Linked DNA regions of Caenorhabditis elegans. The protein of the gene in region 2 purifies or fractionates together with the protein of the main gene of each other region. This does not show direct contact. Each region holds a gene or a part of one and is shown on either strand. Other genes may lie near its edges.

Region 1 (4,648 bases), on a different chromosome or scaffold from region 2:
TTATTAAATATAAATATTTCAGAAGTTCATTTTAATTCCACAAACCGCTCAAGAAGCTTATAAAGATCGTAAGATGCATGCAAAATTCATGATTTCCGAATCAAGAACCTTCATTGGTTCATCGAATTATGGACCTGAATACTTTTACAAATCAACTGGAACTGCAATTATTGTAGACGAAGAACCACATTATGGAGATATCAATAGACAAATAAAAGCTGTATTTGAACGGTAATTAAATATAAAAAATATTTAAAATGTTTCATTGTCTTCAGATACTGGCATAGCACGTACTCACAAAAACTTCAAAAATACGGTGAATCAAAAGGTTATCTTCCAAAAATTTCAAAACCATCGAACCCATTCTCCGGATGGTTTGGGTTTGATCAAATAGGAGTATTTAATGAGAAATACTCTGCTGACGGACTAGTTTACGAGAAGAACCATGGAGAAGATCAGATTCTCGATCCGCTTATTTTCATTTAATTTCGTGTATAAAATTTCAATTGATAAAATTTATTTTCCGTTTTTTATAGCACAAGAAATAAAATATTCGCACCCGAAAATTCAAAAAAGAAGGCAATTCAATTCTAGATACATACAGACTGGCTAAAAGAGCTTCTTACGATAAAAAAAAACAAGTCTAGTTTACAATTTACAATTCAACTGGATGTTGAAGAGTGAGTCCTCCATTTCCACAGACTTCCTTCGCCAATGATTCAATTGTTGCTACCTTCGAAGCATTCTCAACACCACTTCCGGCATCCTTCAGGAATCTGTTTGATGATTTCATCGCCTGAAAGAGTAAATATCGAAATTAAAACTTAAAATTTGGCAGTTATCAAAAATTACCTTATCAACGTAGTAAGTAGCAACTTTGCGTTCAAAATCAGCACTTGAAGATTTGTTCTTGATGGCATAGGTGGCACGAGAAAGAACAGCGGCAGAGCTGTAAATGTTGATGGCAGCGTCGGCAACACGGTGCATCTCATATTGACGATCTACAAAAATTAAAATTAAAAGCAGTTCAAAGGTATTTTATTACCAATTATTCCCTTTTTATGCTTCATGAGTAATCCTTGAACTGTTTGTCCAAACAAAGCAATTTGCTGATCCAATACTTTAGCTGAATCTTGAAGACTTGCGTCGACGACTTGCCCAAAGTTGGAGCCAGTGTTTCCTCTGAAAAATACAGTTTAATAATTCTAAAAATGTGATTTCACAAACCCGGTAACTCTTGAAACAGCCAACCCAATAAGGCCCCCGACTCCAGAAGCTTGCTCGGCAAGATGCTTTCCAGCATGTTGTGCTCCAGTAAGAGCAATGAAGAGGCGGAGAACATCATTGGCTCCTTCAAAGATTCTGAAGATACGAAGATCTCGGAGAACTCTTTCAAGACCAGTCTCGCGCATGAATCCCATTCCTCCGTGAACTTGAATAGCATCGTCGCATACAAGCCAAGCATTTTCTGAAGCTAGAACCTTGCCGATAGCTGCTTCAAGTTGATACTCCTTAATTCCACGATCCATGTTTGATGAAAGCATATAGACAATTGACTCTGTTGCATACAGTTTCGAGATCATTTCTACCAGCTTTTCTTGGATATTTCCAAATTCTTGAAGTTTCTTTCCAAACTGAACACGAGTGGTGATGTGATCGACAGTCTTCTGGATACAATGTTTCATAGCTCCAGTACAGGCAGCTGGAATTCCGAATCTTCCGTTATTAAGAATGTTCATCGCCACCTTGAAGCCTTCTCCTTCTTTTCCAAGAAGATTTTCAACCGGGATTTTTAAATTATCAAAGTGAACTTCAGTTGTGTTCGATCCCTTGATTCCCATTTTCTTCTCTTGTGGTCCACTGGTGACTCCACCAAACGCTCTTTCGACAATGAATGCAGACATCTTGTCCTTTGTTGAGCCATCGGCCTGCTTGACAGGAGTCTGAATAATCAATTGTGAAAGTTTTTCCAAAAAATGAAAATAAATTACCTGAGCAAACACAGTGAAAACATCGGCGAATCCTCCGTTCGAAATCCAGATTTTTCCACCATTCAAAACGTAGTGCTTACCATCAGCAGACAATTCAGCTCTCGTTCTAACTGACTGAATAAATTTAAAGTTTATGAGAAATTAATAATATTCTAGCTTACACTAGCATCAGATCCGGTAGTTGGCTCGGTAAGAGCGAAAGCAGCAAATTTGCGTCCAGTTGCCAAATCGGGAAGATATTTTTGTTTCTGAGCATCCGTACCCTCGAGAAGGATTCCTTTGTAGCCAATCGACTGATGAGCACCCATGACAACACCAAATCCAAGATCGTAAGCTCCAACAATTTCAGCGACTCTGGCCATCTGAGAATTGTTGAATCCGGAACCTTCAAGCTCTGGTGGAACGAGTACACCAAATGTTCCTAGCTCAGCGAATTGGTCCAAAACTGCTCTTGGAATGTCAGAAGTCTCGTCATTTCTGAAAATAAATAAATTGATCATGTAAATTTAAGATTTATTATTCACTTTACGACGTCATTAACTTCGACAAGCATCTTTTCCAGTGGAGACATCACCATTCCAAGAGTTTCTTTCTGTTCGTCAGTCATATTCAGAGGATACGGAAACACCTGGAAATTGGCAGTTTGAACAGGTCCTGCTAAAATTCTCAAATACCTGGTCAGTCACAGCTTTCCCTCTGAAAAGATTCATGACAAATGATGGACTGTCCACTGCAGCGACCTTCTTCGGTTTTGCATCTTTTGCAGCAGCAGCAGAATGCGAAAGACGAATGAATCGTGTTTGGTTGAGCCGTGCAGATTTACTCAGCGTTGACAGCATCGTTTCTCTGGAAGAAAAAACCAATAATATAGGTTTCAATCAGTGAATCAGTAGGGGGTAAATAGCGATGACGGAGATAAAGAGTGAAGAAAACAACTTGGGGGTCGAACGGTGGATAGAGCAGAGACGCAGCATGTGAGAGAACATAGAACACAGACATAACAATACTTTTTTACACTGAACGTCCAAGAGCAATCAAAATAAATAGAATTCAGAATAAGTTTTATAGAAAAGTATTTAGCATTTTATATGAACGCAAAAAAGAACGAATAGGTTTTTTGCTTTTTTTGGATTACATAAAAGAGTGTTTCATAAAATAAGAAGTTTAAAAGTTAACTAAAAATAACTGGAAACATGGTTTGCTCAGTATTTTTCGTAAATTTTCCATAATAAACTGATTAATCGCCAACATACACAAACGATGGAGAGGAAACGTGGAGGACGGTCATTGTTATCTCTTGTAGACTTTGCCCTATGTACTTTGAACGGCCCTGGCTACGCACTAGTGAAAAGACAATGTGATAAAATACACTTTAGCGCAGGTTCGATGAAATTTTCAAGAAAAACATGATTTTATAGCTCTACGGGTCACCTCATGGTACTGAAAAATTCGTATGAACACTTGTTGTCTTATATTTTATCTTTAACGGCCACAAAATAAATTAAAATAGAAAAAAAACGACAATTACAGAAGTTTTCTGCATCGTACTCTGAAAGAAAAATGAATCCGCAATCTGTCGTCACGGTGTTACGGTGGTGTGTTCACACCGTCGGCACTATATTTGACGGCTCATGTTTTAATGTTTTTTACATCTGAATAAATCTGTACATTATAGAAACGAACCGTATGGAATTTGGAATTCTTTCAATGTACGAAAGTGAACGAGTGAAAATATAAACTAATTTAGCGAATGCACAAGTTTGAAAACGTGTGAATTTTTCGGAAGGCTTTTACGCGAAAAAATAAGCTTTATTTTTTTAATTAAAGAAAGAGAAATGGTTCGTAGAATGGATACTGTAATTTAGCTATTTAACAGTCGACAAACAATCCTTGGTTGTTTAAATATCGGAAAAAATAAATCGACCTTCCATGTTAATTTTATTGAACAGACGACAAGGCGTCATAGGTATTTGATGAATGTTTCTGAATTAAGAGAAATCTGAAACTGGTCTATTAATTTTTGTGCGTGCTTCGCTTCAAAATTCAAAACGAAGGAAATTTATTCGATCATTTTCTATAAGTTGAAACCCAAATACTATAGTATACTATGAACACGTTGTACATCTCTCCCGACAAAAGTCTAGTTTTTATATATTTTTTAATTGAAATTTAAAGCCTTGTATACTTTTTTTGCAAATTATTTAAAACATCTAATAATTATCAGTATGTGGTAATAATTCTTTTAGTGCTTATTTTTAAAAAAAAACTATTGATTTCACCCTCGTTATGTAGTCTGCAGCGTAGTCTTATCAACACATGGGGTCAAGACTACACTGTACCGATTCCTTGTTAGGTATTGGCATTTTCTATTTCATTATTTGGTTTTTGTTTCTTCTCCGACAAATACTTAAAAATGGATAAGAAAACTGCTTGCGCACATGTGGCAGAGCCATGCGAGTTCTCATATTCTACCAGAGATGCTATTATTTATGCTCTTGGAGGTAATTTTTTCTAAGACCTTTTGAATAGTGATTAATAATTTCATTTAGTTGGTGCTCGAGCGAAAGAAGATTTGTGCTACGTTTATGAGAACCATGAAGACTTTAAAGTGCTTCCATCGTACATTGTTGCTCCAGGATTTCAAGCTCACACTTTGA
Region 2 (9,171 bases):
GACAGCTGTTGGTGGAATAGCGGCTACTAGTATGTTAATTTCAATTGGTTTGAAAAGTTAATGAACTTGCATTATACCAACAAAAATGTCTCAGTTTTATTTGTGTAGCTTAATGTTTGGTAAGAGGTCACGAGAAATTCACAATCCGTTTTGCTCACGTCTTCGATGTTTAAATAGTTTCAAATTTAAAGTGTGCGACCAATTTTGAAATTTGCTTCAGACGCTGGTTTAATTTTTTTTTTCTTTTGCGCGGAACATTTTTTGAGGGGTAGGTAAAACAATGAAATTTGTTTCAAATAAAAATGAGTTTCCCGTAATGCGCAGGAGGGGGTGGCAAAAAAGAAGCGACTCGTTGACTCCGTAATAAGATGGAATTTTCACTCACAACTGATAGTTCTCTCTATTTCTCAAACAAACTGGAAAGCTCAATGCTTGTCATTTCAGGTGTTGTCGGTTCATACGTCTTTTTATTTGAGAGTCGTAGCAGCTCGTTACTTCAAAATCGATTTCGGATTTCTCGCAGAATATCTCGAGTAATCTACTTTACTTACTTCATAATCGCCGTTATGACATTCATGTTTCTTATAATCGCAATTGGTGAAGAAACAGATTGCAGCAAAGCTGCGAGTTCTGGAGATTAACCCTTGCCCCACTCGAGAGTTTTTCATATTTCCAGTTTTTGTCTTTGAGGCTCCACAAAATTTACTTGTTTTTGGTCTAATCTTGATGTTTCTACATTTCACTGGTAATATGTTATTCCATGTGACATGTCTTATATATTATCTCTATGTGTCCCCATCGCTCCTTATGTTGAGGAATACTCGAAAGGATCAATATGTGTTTTTAGTCTGTGTCACAGTACAGATTTCGGAGCCGCTTATTATGGTAGTTTTTCCAACTGCAATCATCTTCTTGGCGGCATAAATGGGATATTATCGACAAGAATGGAATAACTTGGGTACTGACTATCTTGCTTTCCACGGCCTTGTTGAGAGCATTGCAATCATGTTGGTGCACAGACCGTATCGAGAAGCGATTCGAAAGTATTTCAAGAAAGATAATTCAATCGTCATTCACAGAAGTCGAGAGTTTACATAATAAAATATTGACCCATGAAACGAACTGCAAGTGTATGTAAAAGTTTTATTGGAAAAATCGGTGTGCCGTGAAGCGATTCCACAATCACACGAAAAAATAAGATCGTTGGCCGGAGACATAGGCTGAAATTATTTCGGAAATGCCATAGCGATTTTTGAACAATTACTAAAATTACGGAGTAACATCACTAGAGGAGTATTATGCAAAAAATTAATCCAAATGCAATAAATACTATAATTTTTTTGCCACATGGCAAGCAGTTTTCTATCCATCGCACTTTGCTCAACAGGTCTCGTCGCTTTTCCAAATTATGGCCTTCTACATTATTCTCACTAGGACTCCTGTTAGAATAAAGCCGACGCAATTTCCACTATGTACAAATCACTAGTTCTGTGTTTCATTTGATTTGAGTTTAAAAAAAAACTGAAAACTAAGCAAGAACATTTTCAAGTATCAATGTGGTTTTTGAACAATTTGTATATTTCAACCATTGTTGGGTAAGTGTGTTACAGTCCGCGCACATGTGTTTTCAAATATTTTAAATTAGGGCGCATTTTTTTTCTTCGTATTTTTTTTGAATGTCTTCGTATTTACCAATTTTTCTGGTTTAAAAATTATAAATTTCGCTTACATACTATTTGTGAACGATATTTAGCAAAATCAATATTATAATAAGTATAGCCAGAAACATTAATTCAGTACTGAAATTATTGAGACCGACTTACAACAAAAACTAATTCAGAATGCATGGTCATATTGATAAAAGAAATACGGTATGCACCAATATGGCCACTGAACACACGGTGTGGATTTTTTAACAAAAAATCAAAAAAACATGTTACAAGAATTAATTCATTCTTAACCATTGCGTGACACGTGGCATTTTTTTGAGTTTTTTATGGATTTTAGCTGTTTTAAATCATCCAACTTTCAGCTTTGTTTCAGTTTTTCTTCAATTTTTTTCTAGATTATCAAATTTGACAGAATTTTCAAGGAAGACATAAAGAAAAAAACTAGAACAACAAATTTTGTGATAAAGAAAAACAACGACAAAGTATGTATATCTTGCGCCAGGAAAAGTCCTCTAACTGACCACTGTGCCCACAACTTTAAAAAAAAATTTACCATTCTGATAGTTTGATGACTGGTTACAATACTAACATATTTTTAAAATTTTTCTATGTCTAGTTTTTGAGAAAATGTAGGTAGTTGTGAAAAAATGATGGTTTCCCTAACAGGGGAAGGATCTCGAAGAATCATCAGAAATCTGTTACTTAATAACATATATTTGATAGGTGATGATTACAGATAATCACTTCAAAAATAATTAGTTGTTTTAGAGCAGGTTCAGCCAAATTACAGCGTCTTAAGGTTGACTAAAAAGTCTTCATATTTTAATTCAAAAAATCAAAACTTTTGATGTTTATAACGAGGGCATTTTAGTCAACTTTAAGACGCTGTAATTTGGCTGAACCTGCTCTAAAACAACTAATTTTTTTGAAGTGATTATCTGTAATCATCATCTATCAAATATATGTTATTAAGTAACAGATTTCTGATGATTCTTCGAGATCCTTTCCATGTTAGGGAACCACCATTTTTTCACAACTACCTACATTTTCTCAAAAACTAGACATAGTAACATTTTAAAAATATGTTGGTATTGTAACCAGTCATCAAACTATCAGAATGGTAAATTAAAAAAAAAAAGTTGTGGGCACAGTGGTCAGTTAGAGGACTTTTCCTGGCGCAAGATATACATACTTTGTCGTTGTTTTTCTTTATCACAAAATTTGTTGTTCTAGTTTTTTCTTTATGTCTTCCTTGAAAATTCTGTCAACTTTGATAATCTAGAAAAAAAATTGAAGAAAAACTGAAACAAAGCTGAAAGTTGGATGATTTAAAACAGCTAAAACCCATAAAAAACTCAAAAAAATGCCACGTGTCACGCAATGGTTAAGAATGAATTAATTCTTGGAACATGTTTTTTTGATTTTTTGTTAAAAAATCCACACCGTGGAACAGGTTAGAAATTGTAATTTAACAGTTCACGTGTTTTTTCCAAGTATAAAATCAAAACATTTCTGTTGGGTGTACCCAAATGAACACAACGTGTAGTCAGTTGTTCTCGCATTTGTCTCATCTCTATTTCTCTATTTTCACTACGTTCTCTTGTTGCTCTACCACCTTTTCATGGAGAACACATTTTTGCTGGTCAGTTAAACTTCACTAAGTGTAGTTATACCTGTAGTTAACAGTTTAACCAAGTTTTTGTTTATTCGAGCATGCTACGTGCTGTAGATGATTCTTGTCTTCTCATACGGGGTTTCTTACTTTATCAACTTTTTAATCACAAATTTATTTCCCATTCTACTTTTTCCGTGTTCTCTAAAATATTACCGTTAATTCGCACAATTTGCAACATCCACTTCTTCAAAGGAGGAGTATTGCTCTTTGGATACTTTTTGAAAATTATGAGCTTAACATTTTTAACACATTTAACATTTTTTACCTTTTAACATTTTGAGAAAAATGTTAAAATGGTTTAGTTAGTTTTGAGTTAACAGTCGAATTTTTTGATTAAAAAAATCAACTTTTTGGCTTTGGAAAACATCCATAAATTTAGCCGGAAAGCGCAAAAATTCATAAATAGTAATTCATTTCGAAAAATTCCTTTAAAAAATCGGATTTCTCTTCATGAATTCAGCTCCTGTGTTCATAGTTTTTGGAAAATCGTGATGATATCAAAGTTCAATTTATTTGCCATGCGGAATTCATTTACAAAAATAGCTTTTACTGTGTGTGACGTCGTAGAAAAACCAATTAATTTCAAAATATATATTACTTCAAACCTCATTATTACAGATGTTATCACGTGTTGTTCATAGATCGTCTTCGGTGTTTCGAACAAATCTCTCGTTTCGTTTGTTCTCACAGTCTGCATTCGCCGTGCACAGTACTCATCGCGTTGAGAAACAAGGTGACGTGGCTGTCATGAAAATTGATTTGCCAAACACAACAGAAAATGTGCTCAATAAAGCGTTGTTCGCGGAAATGAACGAAACATTGGATAGGGTGAGATTGAAGAGATTTCTTTTTTATAGTTATAAGTTTCAGCTTCAATCTGATCAAAGTGTCAAAGCTATTGTTGTCATGTCCGGAAAACCAAATAGTTTTGTTGCTGGAGCTGATATTCAAATGTTTAAAGCAGAAAAAACAGCCGCTGGAGTTTCAAACCTTCTTCGTGAGGGCCAGAAACAATTATTGACCATCGAGCTGAGCCAGAAACCAATAGTCGCTGCAATCATGGGAAGCTGTATGGGAGGTGGACTTGAAATCGCCCTTGCTTGTCACTACCGCATTGCTGTGAACGACAAAAAGACACTCTTGGGACTTCCAGAAGTGACTCTTGGGATAATGCCAGGAGACGGTGGAACTCAAAGACTACCAAAGCTAACTACTGTTCAGAATGTTCTCGACTTGACATTGACTGGCAAGAGAATCAAGGCAAATAAGGCTATGAAAATTGGAATTGTTGATCGTGTTATTCAACCACTTGGGGATGGAATTTGTACATCAACCGAAACCACTCATAAATATCTTGAAGAAATCGCAGTGCAATCGGCACGGGAGCTTGCCAATGGAAAACTCAAAATTAACAGAGACAAAGGATTTGTGCACAATGCTACGCAAGCAGTCATGACTAGCAAATTTGTACTGGACAATGTGATTCTCAAGATGGCTAAGAATAAGCTTATTAAACTGACCAATGGGAACTATCCGGCTCCACTCAAGATTCTTGACGTTGTCCGGACGGCATACCTAGACCCAAAAAATGGATATGAAGCTGAGGCTAAGGTAAGACAATTTGATTTCATCGTTTTTCCAGTTTTGTTTTCGATTTTCAATTGTCTATCCGTAGACTTGAAGTAGTGTGAAAAGTTATACAAAAATAGTTTTTTAGAGTTTGCAGTCAGCTTTTCTCGTACGCCTGAATTTCATTTTTCGTAATTAGGGAATTTTTAGTCTTCAAAAAAATCAGAGATTGAGAGATCAGAGATGAGAGAATACTTGCCAAGTTCAAAGCTTTCAGGCATTTGGTGAACTTTCACAAACTTTCCAATCAAAAGCACTTTTTGGACTGTTCGAAGGATCGACTAATGCTAAAAAGAACAAATACGGAAAAGGACTTCCGGTCAATGAAATCGCTGTCGTCGGAGCTGGATTCATGGGAGCAGGGATTGCGAATGTAACTATCAATAAGGGTATTCGAACAGTTCTTTTGGATGCCAACCAGGCAGGCGTTGAACGAGGACAAAATCACGTGGCTACACATTTGAATAGACAGCTCAAGAGACAAAAGATTTCGAAATTGGAAAGAGAAAAAATCTACAACCATCTTGTGCCAACAATTGATTATTCCGCCATGAAGAATGCTGATGTAGTTATTGAGGCGGTTTTCGAAGATCTTCCTCTGAAGCATAAAGTTATTAGGCAAATCGAAAACGTCGTTGGACCAAACACAATCATTGCATCCAATACTTCTGCTCTTCCAATCAAGGATATTGCCGCTGCGTCTTCTCGGTCAGATAAAGTATGGTATTGAATTTATAAATCACTTACAGTTTAAATTAATTTTCAGGTTATTGGGATGCACTATTTCTCTCCAGTTGAAAAGATGCAGTTACTTGAAATTATCACTCATGATGGAACATCTAAAGAAACCCTTGCAACTGCTGCTCAGCTAGGACTAAAGCAAGGAAAACTCGTCGTCGTCGTCAAGGATTGTCCCGGCTTCTTCGTCGTCCGATGCCTAAGCCCAATGATGTCGGAAATAGTCCGTCTCCTCCAGGAAGGTGTCGAACCATCTGAACTTGACAAACTCACAACGAAATTCGGATTCCCTGTGGGAGCTGCGACGTTGGCCGACGAAGCTGGACTCGACGTCGCAGAACACGTGGCTCGATATCTCGGAACCGCTTTAGGTCCACGTGTTCATGGAGGATCGGTTGATTTGTTGTCCGAATTGGTGCGCGCTGGACATAAGGGGCGTAAGACTTCAAAGGGAATCTTTGTGTACGGAGATGGGGCAAAAGGCAGCAAGAAAGTAAACCAAGAGGCGGCAAAGCTGTTTGAAAAGTATAAATTGACACCAATCAAATCTGTGTGAGTTTTTTTTAAATACGCATTAAAAAAATAGTTTTTAGAAACTAATTCCCGACCGGCGCAGCTAAAATACGGGCAATGTTTCTTCCAAATTTAGAACCACATAAAAAATGTTTGATAGTTTTGTTTTAGTTCTCACTACGAAATGTGTTTATTAAAAACCCGGAAATTATTTTTAATTTTTTTTAAAAACAATATCCGCACACCGCGAATTATCCATGGCTAATCTCAATCAATGTCGGCTGCGCTTTTTTAGCCCTCAAATGTTTAATTCTTTGGAGATCATACATCAAACTGAACAAAAATATATACAAGTAGCGATTTGAATATAGTAATAATCGTAATATTTTCCAGCTCATCTCCTGAGGACCGTCAACTTCGTCTCGTCTCTCGATTTGTCAATGAGGCACTTCTTTGTCTTGAAGAAGGTGTTATTAGCTCACCATCTGACGGAGATATAGCCTCTGTATTTGGTCTCGGTTTCCCACCATTCTGGGGAGGCCCATTCCGGTTTGTCGATCTTTATGGAGCGGGCAAGTTGGTTGCGGCGATGGACAGGTTTGCCGGAGTGTACGAATCTGTCCAATTTGAGCCATGCCAACTTCTCAGAAATCATGCGAAGAGTGGAGGACAATTTTATAGCTAAAACCAATTTTTGTCTGAATTGTATTTTCACAGCTTATACGGGACATTTTTGTTTTCAATGAATTTCCTTTCAAATTGCTCCCTTTTTATTATGTTTAATGAATGTTATGATAAAAAACTTGTTTGAAATCGCTTCTATAATGCTGAATTTTTGAGATTTTTCAAATCGTCAATCAAAAAGTATGCATTTTTTAAATATGTGAATCCTAAAACAGATTCATAGAATTTAAACATTTATTGAAACAAATAAAAGTTACAAGACAGAAAAAATAAATAAATTCTCAAAACAAAAACAGAAAGACAATTACGCAGGCGAAAAAGAATTCAGAAGAACGTGTCACAGACTTTTCGATATCAAAATTGAGAAATAGTTTGCTTGAATCGGTACCGTTTGGGTAATATTCAATGTGCAAAAAGTTTCCGTGAAAGGTTATAGTAGTGTTGAGAGGTGGAAGATTTGTAGAATTAAAGCTGAAATTGAAGAGATTGAGGATTGCGATGGAACTCGTAAACTTAAAAATTTGAGTTAAAAATCAAATTGAAAAAGAACTTACGAAAACTTTTTTCTAAAATATGCTATGTTTTTAACAAAATTGTAATTTTTAGACTTTACTTTTCAACGCTTCAGCACACCAATCAGTTTATCCATTTTGAAGACTATTTTTACTTTCGGTTTTTCGGTGATTTGCTGAGTTGTTCGAACGCGTATAACTCGACTACCATAATAGTTAGCGAAATATTTTCAACTAACAAACTGTTTTCAATCACCTTTTTTACTTTTTGCTTTTGGCAAAGTTATTTAATTGTTTTCCAGAAAGTTAAATCAGCTGTTATCAGGAGGGTATGTTTTTTTACAACTTTGAAACTAGGTGTTAAAAAAAAACAAAGTTTGATAAAAAAATATTCTAAGTTTTCTAATTTTTGCAATTTGTTGTTCTGTCACAAAGTTGCCAGGAAAACTTATACGAAAATGCATTACGAAAATCAAAATTAACTAAATTTTCTCATAATGAGTAGAATTTTTTTTGAAATCAGTTTTGGGACCAAGCCCCTATATTGGGTAGCCTCCTCCGGCCCTTATAGGAGATCTAAACATATGCAGAAATGACTAGAATTTTTAACAAGTGAATACCGCGCCATTTCATTTGTGAAATATTTACCTCAGTTCTCTTGTTAACTCGATATATCTATAGCAATATACTATTAGTGTGGTTGACCCACTTAAATCCGCTGTAGCAATGTTAACTTTAAATATAGTGTCCGGATTTTTTACGGGTGCGTTGATATGGAAAGCTTCTTGGAATGAGTTTCCATATGAGTCGGATGAAATGAATCCTTTTCTTCCGAAGGAAGTTGTCTCATCGAATGCATCATCTCTTCGTGTGAAGGTGAGAGACGCGGTCTCACCTGTGAAAACAAGTGTTGTTAACCGGCCAAAAAATTCTTGAGGTAGGTTAAGCTCGCTTCTGTTTACACTGAAAGTAATTTTGGGTGTGTGATATTTGTGTCATTTTTCTCAAGAAACCCACTCATAAGTTGTGATCAAATTTGTTTTAGTGACCCCGCCATCAAAAACCTCTAATTTACCAAAGCCAAGTGTCTTATTTAAAACGAAGCTTGTTTCGAATTTGTTGTGATATAGTTGTAGGGCGACTGAACCTTTTGTTCCATCCAATGAAACAATGCCGTCACAGTCTTGGTCATCTGGACACAAAATCCACTCGAATTTGCAAATAGATTTTGTATTTTCATAGTCCTGAAGCACAATGGGACTATTGTTTACAGCCCAGGAATCACCAATATACGAAATTAGCATTTGATTCGAAGTGCTAACATATTGTGATTTTCCCGTCAATAACTGAAGTCCTGTTCCAAGATACGTCGAGTTTCTGGTAGTTCCATCGAAGAACAGTACTCCACGCAAGTATTGAAAGCTGTCCTTGACACCTGGTGGCACAATTGTGGCGGATATTCTGGTATCAGCAGTGATCACGACTTGTTGGTCAGGCATGTTTGAGTAAAGTGGAGGTAAAGTTGCCGATCGGGAGAAATTCAGATATTTTGTTTGTATGAATTGATCTGAAAAAATTAAAGCTAACATGGCATATATCAAATCCAAAGAATTACATGTGTCCCAGAAAATTGAGAATCCAAATTGAACTTTTCGATTACCAGTGGATAGTTTTATGTTTCCTCCATTGGAAACAAAATAAAACGACTCGGATTTCGTAGAAAAAACTCTGAAAATTTATTCTCAAAAAT
Region 3 (3,514 bases), on a different chromosome or scaffold from region 2:
GAGAGAGGTAATCAGATATAGAAAATATTAGAAGAGATTGAGAGAAACTAAGAAAGGGCGGCCGAAAATTGGTGGTTAGGTAATGATATACTAGTATAGTAGATAAAAACATTTTTGTACAGTAGAAACTGAAACTGAACTTAATAAATCGTGATAGGGAAGATTTTTCAAACTTTGCCGCTTGATGTTGCTCCCTGCCGGCCATTAAATATTACAAAACTCACGGGAAAGAACCAGTCAAGCCACATCGCTGTCCACTGTTTCTGTAGTGTTTAATTGATTTTTTCTTCGAACAACATAAACAATCAGAAATCACAAATTTAATATTTAGCAGACCCAAGGTGGGTATGCTATTATTCAGCATACAAGTGTGTAGTGTTTCTGTAGTGTTTAATTGATTTTTTTTTCAAAAAAAAAACATAAACAATCACAAATCACAAATATGGAAAATCGAAACTGACTACAAAAAAAAAGGAATCAGAAAATCGTGAAGATGCAGCTTTACATATATATTTATTTTCAATGGCAGAAGAAACTAACCGTAAAATACAGAAAAAATACAAAACACAATAAAAATAATAAAACAAGAAATTCAACTAGGCACTTTGAATCATCTTCTTCTCTTATCTGTAGATGCGCATCTATTTCGACTCCCACTGTGGCTTTCTCTTCTCGGCAAAAGCGGTCATTCCTTCCTGAAAAACATCTTTTAAGGGGAATTTATCAGGTTTTCGAGAAAAATACTAAACTAGGTAGGAAACTGATTATTTCATTTTAAGAGAAGGTGGAATAAAAACTGGAACAATATTTTGATCACTGTATTTATTTGGCAGTTTTTCTACCGTAATAATAAATAAGTTTAAATAATTTATCTACAAAACTAGATTGCAATTTAAAAATTCATTTTGATAATTTACCTTTCTATCCTTGGTGGCAAAAGTGGCATGGAAAAGTCGTCTTTCGAAGTGAAGTCCCTCTTGAAGAGTAAGCTCATAAGCTTTGTTAACGGCCTCCTTTGCCATTTGAACAATCAGTGGAGATTGATCAGCGATTTTCTCTCCAAGTTTCACAGCTTCCCCGACAACCTGATCAGCTGGGAAAATCTTGCTCACAATACCGTGCTCCTTAGCTTCTTGAGCAGTCACGTGGTTTCCAGTAAGGCACACCTCCATGGCAAATGATTTTCCGGCGGCGCGAGCCCAACGCTGAGTACCTCCTGAATCATCGACGTTTAAAAATTTGATTTTAAAATATTGTCAATTACCTGCTCCTGGAATAGTTCCAATGTTAATTTCAGGTTGTCCAAAACGAGCCTTCTCTCCGGCATAGATAATATCACACATCATTGCCAACTCGTTTCCACCTCCCAATGCAAATCCGTTCACTGCAGCAATAACTGGCTTTTTCACATCACTGACAGCGGTCCAGTTGGAGAGGAAGCTTCCAGAAAATGTGGTGGCGAACTCGTTATTGGTCTGAAATCCGATAATTTTTAAAAAATTGGATTATACGCTGACTAACCATCTCCTTGATATCAGCTCCAGCGGCAAAAGCTCTCTCACTTCCAGTAATCACAATTGCTCCGACAGACTTATCAGTATCCAAAACTTCGAGAGCATCAGCCAATTCAGTCATAAGCTGAGCGCACAAAGCATTCAAAGCTTTTGGTCTATTCAGCTTGATAAGAGCAACATTTTGCTTCTCTCCAACTTTCTCGATCTTGATCATTTCAGGAGCTTTGCTTGAAAATGCGGCGACTTGCATTTGGTTGACATTTGCACACAATTTGGCATTGCGAACCAGCATCGACGAGAAGCGCATCATCTTGATTTCTGAAATTTCAGAACTTGAGTTGGAAAATGTTGATAACTAAGAAATGAGAAGAAAATTGGAAGTATTCAAGAAAAAGAAGACAATTGTAAAAGATGCAAAAGTGAACGAAACAGATATGAAAATAGACGCAGACAGTGAGAGATATACGAACGATAGAGCACACAGTGTGAACTGTGATCTATGAACTAATCAACAATAAAAACAAGAAAACACTGCTTTTTAAAGGTTTTTCTTGTTGTTATACAACGTGTCTAAACGTGCCAATTTTTACGTTTTTTCGTCAAGAAGACTCTAATTTGGAACAATTATAATTGTTATTAAATAACACAGACGCAAAATTTAGATTTTTGCCAAAAGAAACCATATCCGGTCTCGACACGACAAATTTGTGTGAAATACAAAAAGATGTGCGCATTTGAAGAGTACTATAATTGCAATTTACATAGCAATTTTTTAGATCCAAATAATTGTTTTTTATTTTCTAAACACATGAAAAATAAAATTCCGAAGATTTAGACCAATTTGGTATGCTGAATAATTAGCAGACCAATTTGGTATGCTAATTATTTATTGGTAAAATTTTACAACAAAAAGGGGAAAGCAGAGACAACTGCGCGAGATAACAGAGAGTGGGTTACTGTACTACTTAAAGGAGCATTCCTTTTTTCACGGCTTCAAAATATTTCGTTTGTGGCGAGAGAGGATACGGTATCTTTGAGTTACTGCATAATAAAAAATCAAATAATTTCGGAGAACAACCCATAAAAATTAAATTAAAACAAAAAGTATAAAAAGTAAGAATTAGAAATCTTATTCACAACTATTAAAACATTTCACATGAATAAATAAATAAATACAAAACTCCGATGAGTATTCTGAGAAACTTTCAAATAAAATTATGTAAATAAATTATAAATTTCGTTCTTTGGTAGTAGATCAACAATCACAATTGTCGTTTGACTAGTCTTTCGAATCTTTTAAGCTTATCAATTGATGACGTCACTGCTTGATCAGACAATCCATCTGCTGCCATTGATACAACTGCATTGAATGCTTCAGATACAGATGCTGCACTTCCAACAGTTGGTAGTGCTCCACCAATCCGAGAAGTTAGACTATTCGATTGTTGAATTGGATCCGAGCCAGATGCACCGATTTTCAATCGATAAGCGTTGAGAACTGCCGAATGCTCTTGTCGTTTAACTCCTTTCATTTCAAGAACTTTTTGCATTTCTGCTGCATCCGACGCTGGTAGAAGTTTAATATATTGTTCAACAAATTCATCGACAGTCTCCAAACTGCACATTACTACCTGAAAAATTATTTATTTTGAATTTCGCGTTTTTGGAAAAATGGAAAACAACAAATTAAAATTTTGGTCTTTCTAAACTTATTTTGACTTTCGAATTTCCGGAAAATTCACAATTTTTTTTTAAATTAAAACCCATGTTTAAAAACCGAATTTTGTTTTTTGATTTTTTGATTTTTCGATCTCTTTAAAAAATCTAAAATGTCTCACTTTCAAAATCATTTCAGCTTTTGTCAGAGCTGCATTCACACTGGTAACGTATGCCGTTGGTGGTTTTGAGTTGATAATACTATCAATTGATGGTACACTGAGCAAAAATGTTTTTAGCGAATGAGTATCAAGTAACAGTTGCTCAGCTCCATGAGTACTAAT

The links. Proteins that work in one complex are often made in the same cells at the same time.
Region 1: the proteins of ech-1.1 (region 2) and acdh-12 fractionate together in Caenorhabditis elegans (co-fractionation; one large-scale study listed by BioGRID). This does not show direct contact.
Region 3: the proteins of ech-1.1 (region 2) and ech-6 fractionate together in Caenorhabditis elegans (co-fractionation; one large-scale study listed by BioGRID). This does not show direct contact.

The regions. Positions count from the first base shown.
Region 1 is NC_003280.10:7,191,934-7,196,581, forward strand, and holds acdh-12 (Very long-chain specific acyl-CoA dehydrogenase, mitochondrial), read right to left. Parts: upstream 2,838-4,648; 5' UTR 2,831-2,837; coding exon 2,666-2,830; intron 2,620-2,665; coding exon 2,516-2,619; intron 2,469-2,515; coding exon 2,153-2,468; intron 2,106-2,152; coding exon 1,992-2,105; intron 1,944-1,991; coding exon 1,228-1,943; intron 1,183-1,227; coding exon 1,046-1,182; intron 1,002-1,045; coding exon 853-1,001; intron 797-852; coding exon 656-796; 3' UTR 501-655; downstream 1-500. Other genes in the region: E04F6.4 (PLD phosphodiesterase domain-containing protein), read left to right, coding at 23-231, 276-486; maoc-1 (MaoC-like domain-containing protein), read left to right, coding at 4,405-4,492, 4,541-4,648.
Region 2 is NC_003283.11:15,355,531-15,364,701, reverse strand, and holds ech-1.1 (Trifunctional enzyme subunit alpha, mitochondrial), read left to right. Parts: upstream 1-3,963; coding exon 3,964-4,173; intron 4,174-4,215; coding exon 4,216-4,956; exon of another isoform or gene 4,957-5,024; intron 5,025-5,191; coding exon 5,192-5,692; intron 5,693-5,740; coding exon 5,741-6,264; intron 6,265-6,618; coding exon 6,619-6,910; 3' UTR 6,911-7,025; downstream 7,026-9,171. Other genes in the region: C29F3.7 (CUB-like domain-containing protein), read right to left, coding at 7,191-7,380, 8,070-8,384, 8,439-8,988, 9,037-9,149.
Region 3 is NC_003281.10:9,751,052-9,754,565, forward strand, and holds ech-6 (putative enoyl-CoA hydratase, mitochondrial), read right to left. Parts: upstream 1,833-3,514; 5' UTR 1,825-1,832; coding exon 1,522-1,824; intron 1,476-1,521; coding exon 1,265-1,475; intron 1,217-1,264; coding exon 918-1,216; intron 696-917; coding exon 642-695; 3' UTR 501-641; downstream 1-500. Other genes in the region: vps-53 (Vacuolar protein sorting-associated protein 53 homolog), read right to left, coding at 2,777-3,145, 3,353-3,514.